Linked DNA regions of Styela clava. The protein of the gene in region 1 purifies or fractionates together with the protein of each later gene. This does not show direct contact. Links are inferred from orthologs where the notes say so. Each region holds a gene or a part of one and is shown in the gene's direction. Other genes may lie near its edges.

The links.
Region 2: the proteins of putative ATP-dependent RNA helicase DDX23 (region 1) and CD2 antigen cytoplasmic tail-binding protein 2 homolog purify together in Homo sapiens (affinity purification with mass spectrometry; 6 studies listed by BioGRID and IntAct, counting the BioPlex papers as one, with this or other methods). This does not show direct contact. The link is inferred for Styela clava from reciprocal best matches to the Homo sapiens genes DDX23 and CD2BP2.

The regions. Positions count from the first base shown.
Region 1 is NC_135258.1:10,986,542-10,990,303, forward strand, and holds the start of putative ATP-dependent RNA helicase DDX23, read left to right. Parts: upstream 1-1,139; coding exon 1,140-3,455; 3' UTR 3,456-3,762. Other genes in the region: cyclin-H-like, read left to right, coding at 1-22. UniProt on the Homo sapiens protein: Involved in pre-mRNA splicing and its phosphorylated form (by SRPK2) is required for spliceosomal B complex formation.
Region 2 is NC_135258.1:7,298,839-7,301,566, reverse strand, and holds CD2 antigen cytoplasmic tail-binding protein 2 homolog, read left to right. Parts: upstream 1-1,032; 5' UTR 1,033-1,099; coding exon 1,100-2,194; 3' UTR 2,195-2,204; downstream 2,205-2,728. UniProt on the Homo sapiens protein: Involved in pre-mRNA splicing as component of the U5 snRNP complex that is involved in spliceosome assembly.

The DNA.
Region 1 (3,762 bases):
AATGGATTTACTTGCTTTTTAAAATACATCACTATCAGTTTTAGATATTATTTCATTTTCTCTAAAATTTGCAGTAGCTACCATAAACTGTCCAATGGTTTTTTTGGAGAAGGAAATGACCCTGATAGTTTCGTTTTCTGTTTCAGATGTCCAGTAACATTCTTAATGAATTTAATTATTCTAAAGTACGAATTTGTAGAAAATAAACCATTCATTACAAAGTACCGTAATGTGCTGATTTGAAATACCATAAAGCTGTCATAAACCTTTTAAAGAATCGAGTCGTGCATATTTCAATGTTTTGGTTTAATTAGAATTTTATTGAATTTGTGTCCAATTTCACATGATTTCCTCTTTTTATATGAGATATGACATCAGTGTATATGAGAAATTATCTAATGTAGGCAATTTCATATATCATATGCATGATTATTCCCTATATCATTCTATACTTGGTGAAGTAATAGTTTGACTGGTGGTAGCCAGGTCGCACTCTTTATGCAATGGCATTTTTGTGTCCACAATACTTTGGATGATTATGGTTTGTGTGGTAACATATAACTGCCTTTTTATTAGTGTTATTAAAGATATTTGACTAAAAAGCAGATATTCTGATGTACATGGTAAAAAATGAAGTGATTTTTTGTTCCCATGGCTCTCTTGGCTCTATATGGTATAATTTATAAGCAAAAACTATGGTTAGAAGAAGTGATTTACATCTAAAAGGATTTTCATTTTCTGAATCTAAGTTTTGACAGTGCATTACTTCATTTCCATGAGATTGTTTCAAATTCACACCCAATATGGCAATATCTAAATAGAAATTATTCATGTGCTAGGCGTATACTGCTTTCTAACTGTTTGTGCCTTTTTTTGTTTGTTAAATTCATCAAGTAGTTGTGTGTACCACTGACTAATTTAATTGCCGAAATGTAATGCTTATTAATCTCCCTTCGTTATAGATAGTTGAAAAAAGTCAATGTTGTGTTTCTATGCTTGTTGTTGTGTTTCTAACCACATAGTCATTTCAATAAAAGGTCTGCAGTGATTTTGATGCTTCACAGCTTTAATGTTCCAATCATCCTTTCTAGATAATGTGATTTATATTTTTTTGTTTTTCATCTTCACAGAGCATAAATATGGGTAGATCCAGATCTCGTTCCAGAGAAAGAGACAAGAAAAAACATCGATCACGATCTAAAAGATCACGCTCAAGAGAACGAAAGCGTTCTCGATCAAGAGAACGTAAGAAACATGACAGAAAAAGATCCAGATCTCGATCAAAAGACAGAGATCGAAAATCTCACAAGTATAGTCATTCAGATAATAATAAAACTGATAAAGAATTAAAAGAGGAAAAGTCACAAGATTCTCAAAATGGAATGGTAGTTGAAGAGGAAGAAGATATTCAAAAGCCAAAGGTTCAACCTCTCAGTCTTGAGGAAATGCTTGCCAAAAAGAAGGCGGAGGAAGATGCTGCTGCCAAGCCAAAATTCACTACCAAAGAGGACCGTGCTGCAGCAGCAATCGCCCGAAGGCAACAAGAAGTCGAAGAAAAGCGAAAACAAATGGATGAGATGCGTAAAAAGCAGAGGGAGATATTTAGCGAAGGGAGAAAAATGCTTGAGGATCCATATGATCGAGAACGTAGAGAGCGCAAAGAACGAAGAGCCAAAGATGATGACGATGAACTAGACAAGAAACGTATCGATAAAGACGCAGAGAAAGAATTGTCATCAATCAAAGATCGATACCTGGGTATTGTAAAAAAGAAAAAACGCGTCCGACGTCTCAACGACAGAAAATTCGTGTTTGATTGGGACGCTGGTGATGACACTTCTGTTGACTTCAATCCAATTTATAAAGAAAAACACGAAGTTCATTTGTTTGGCCGTGGATTTATTGCAGGCATTGACGTTAAAGTCCAAAAGAAGTCACAATCACAATTTTATGGAGAACTTATGGAGAATCGTAGAACACAACAAGAAAAAGATTTAGAAAAGAAAAGGATGGTAAATGCTTTGAAAAAGGAGAAGAAACGATTGTGGGATGATAGACATTGGACAAAGAAATCTTTAGAGGAAATGCAAGAAAGAGACTGGAGAATCTTCCGTGAGGATTACAGTATAGCTACTAAGGGTGGAAACATTCCACCACCTTTACGATCTTGGAAAGAATGTAAGGATATTCCAGACGAACTTCTAGCAATCATTGATGGACTTGGTTACAAGGATCCAACTCCGATTCAACGACAAGCTATTCCCATCGGCCTGTTGAACCGTGACATTATCGGCGTTGCAGAGACTGGTTCTGGTAAAACAGCGGCATTTTTAATCCCCCTCTTGATATGGATAACATCACTGCCTAAAATAGAGAGATTAGAAGATGCAGATAAAGGACCATATGCAATTATTTTAGCTCCGACTCGTGAACTGGCACAACAAATCGAAGAGGAAACCATAAAATTTGGTAAAGAACTTGGAATGCGTACTGTTGCAGTCATTGGAGGTTTATCAAGGGAGGACCAAGGTTTTAAATTGCGCATGGGATGTGAAATTGTTATTGCAACACCAGGTCGTCTTATTGACGTCTTGGAAAACCGCTATCTGGTATTGAGCCAATGCACATACGTTGTTCTTGACGAGGCTGATAGGATGATTGACATGGGTTTTGAACCTGATGTGAAGAAAATTCTTGATCATATGCCAGTGACAAATCAAAAGCCTGATTCAGAGCAGTTGGATGATGATTTACTAATGCGAAGCAATTTTCTATCAAAGCATAAGTTTAGACAGACTGTCATGTTCACTGCAACTATGCCTCCTATTGTTGAAAGGTTAGCTAAAACTTATTTGCGACGCCCAGCGATTGTGAATATTGGAGTAGCTGGAAAACCAATAGAAAAAGTAAAACAAATTGTTCATTTGTTAAAGGAGAATGCAAAAAGGAGAAAGCTGTTGGAAATTTTGGGAGCAGGTATCACACCACCTATTATTATATTCGTAAATCAGAAAAAAGGTTGCGACGTCTTGGCAAGATCATTGGAAAAAATGGGATACAATGCTACTACACTTCATGGGGGTAAAGGTCAGGAACAACGTGAATTCGCTTTGAGTGGATTAAAAGAAGGAAGTAAAGATATCCTTGTTGCCACAAATGTGGCTGGACGTGGTATCGACATTCCTGATGTTTCTTTGGTTATTAATTTTGATATGGCAAGGTCGATTGAAGATTATACTCATCGTATTGGACGTACAGGGAGAATGGGAAAGACTGGAACAGCTATAACATTTATTACTCAAGAAGACTCGGCAGTTTTTTATGACCTGAAACAAGCATTGCTTGAGAGTCCGGTCTCTACTTGCCCATCTGAACTTGAAAGACATCCTGAAGCCCAACATAAACCTGGGACTATACTCACTAAAAAGCGAAGGGAAGAAACTATTTTTGCTTAGAAATCTTAATATCATTTCTTTTTCAACTTTGCTGACCTGATTGCATTTCGCAGCCAATTACTCATTAACATCAAAATTTGTTTCAAGATCTGTATGGAGTCGAATGGATTTTCACCTCCAGATATAAAACAATTTGTCTTGATGTCAAAATGATATGTCTACAAAAGCTTGTTTCATGTTTTTGTTTTATTTTAGTCTAATTATGGCACCCTTTACTTGATGTTCCATGAAGCATAGTGCCTTCATTCAGTACTGTTACATACAGTTAGTTCATAGCCGATTGCCTTCATGCATAAATTTTTTTATG
Region 2 (2,728 bases), about 3.7 Mb from region 1:
AAATCAGTAGAAAAGCCAGTTTACAGAATCAGACAGGACAATTGCAGAAATTTAGCATGTTGGTGTAAAAATGCCATTTGTATTGTCCAATCAATCAGCTTGAGCAAGTGGGGTGGGTGCCAGTTCAGAATAAATGGTGGACAAAACAGAGGAAGAAGATGACTAAAAAAGCGAGTTCACAGAATCAGACGAGAGCAGCGGTCCCCATGTGGTATTTATTATATATATATATATATATATATATATATATATATATATAATAGGGAACCTCAGGACAATTGCAGAAATTTTGCATGTTGGTGTAAAAATGCCATTTGTATTATTGTCCAATCAGTTTGAGCAAGTGGGGTGGGTGCCAGTTGATGATGAGCCAGTCGATGATATATATGTGTCGGAAATGACGATAACACTGAAATTTTCTGTACTGGGATTTTCTGTGGTGAGGTCAATATTTATTTACTTGGCTGAAATGAAATGAAATGAAATGACTGATTATGAACATTTAAAAACTAACATGTAAACAACTTAGGGAACACTATCAGTTGAAGTAACGCGATACTACGAGAAAACACATTACCAACTCCAGAAAAAAAATTCTGGGGTCAAGGGTCGAGAAACATCCATTTGTATTTGGAAGGGTTGGGAAAGTGATTATTTTGCTCAAAACTTCAATAGTGGGGATGAATATATTAAATAGTATGCGCTTTGCTTATTATTTATGTTTAATATTGTGCAAGTGCTAACAAAGTGACCGGACAATGTGCTCACTCATGCTCATACCGAACACCCAGAGAGATTTATTGTTTCGTAAATGAAAAAACGAGCGCCGGGTCGTGGAATTTAGAAAATCTCCGAAGAAGGCTTCCGCAAAAGCAGCAGTGACTTCAAGCCTCGGCCTCTTATGATGCTCCGTTGATGGCATTTTCAGAGTTTAGTGATACCTGTATTCAGTGTAAAATGCTGGAATGGATATTTTCCAATTTTATTTTATCTTAAAAATATTCATTGACTGAAATTTTTACTTTTTACAGTTATAGGTACCGTACCGGTATGTCACAGCTCTATACGGTATCCAAGCCAGATACCAGTATTTTTTGAGATGTCAAAAAGAGTGAGATTCAGTGGTGAAGCTGGTGCAGAAGAGACTGTGCATAAATTTCCAAAATATGATGATGCATCTACAAAAAAATTTGAACTAAAAAATAATCAGGAAGATATTGTTGGACGGAGTCACCATCAATCTAGATTCAAACTCGACCACAGCCTTGATAGTGATGAAGAAGATAATAATAAGAAAGAAGATTTTGAAAAATTAACAGAAGAAGATGTTGAAGGAGCAGAAGATGATTATGTGGACACAGGGGAGGAAGTTGGAATCACACCTTTCAACCTAAAGGAGGAAATGGCTGAAGGAGACTTTGATGTTCAAGGGAATTATCATTTCCGGAAGGAGAACGTCATTCGGGATAATTGGTTGGATAATATTGACTGGATGAAAGTTAAAAAGAAAGATGTTGAAATGGAGCAAGATTCATCTGATGATGGAGAAAATACTTTAGATGAACTTGAAGTTTTGAAGAAAATAGTTGCTCTCATGCTACCTGGAGAAACATTAACCAGAGCTCTTCGACGCCACGGCGGAAAGGAGAAGAAGAAACGTTCATGGCGAAAAGAAAAAGTTTACGACCTTAATGCTACAAATGAGGAAACAAGCACAAGTAATGAAAATGACAAGGAAGCGAAACAGAAAGAGAAATTGTTGGAATTGACTGGTCTAGCAGATGAAATGACTGGCGCCGGACATTACGATGTTTATACAGATACTTACGAAAAGTTTCAACATAAAATTGAAAAAATGGAGGCCGAGAAAAAGGCGAAAGAGCCAGTTATACCTGATGACGCGGATGACGATGATGCTTTGGATATATTAGCAAGTAACATAGATGAAACAGACAAAATGAATGAATCTGGAAGTACTAATAGAAATGAGAATAGTAACGGTGAAAATGTAATAAAATGGGAATTTAAATGGACTGAGGAAGATTCTGAAATCCATGGACCTTTCACATCACAAGAAATGTTTGAATGGCAAGAACAAGGTTATTTTAAAGATGGTGTTTTGGTTCGAAGAACAGATCGTGATGAATCACAGTTCTATTCATCCAAACGAATAGATTTTGATCTTTATACTTGATCTATGAAACTAAGCGTCCTCATTTTTTCCAAATTCTTACTCTTCTTTAATGTGGATTTACTCAGCTGTGGGAGGAGATTTTTTGGGGCATAAAGTTTATCTGTAAATTATGTCACAACTGCAAAACTAAGATTAACTCAATCTGAGAAGTTATGTAGGGTAAAAATAACTCTGCATTTGAGGGTTTTATAGATAATGTTACTATTTCTTGTGCCTCAACTGTGTGTTGATTGGTCTCACTGCTGCACTGAGTTGAGACTAAATTACAGTCTTTCATTTGCTATTTTGTAGATTATACCTTGTCAAAATAATCTTCAAAATATCAGTGAAAGACCCTGCTTTAGTGTTTTGGGTGTCAGTTCATTTAAGTTACAACGTTAAACTTTGTCAGCTGATAATGCGTTTTTTCAAATGCCCTTTTTTGGCTTAATTTTGGTCATGTTTCAATTACAGAGTATTGGAAATACTTTTTGATAATTTTAGTCTGCAACAGTCATTTATCTTCTCCTTAATTTTATCGAACTACTAAATTTT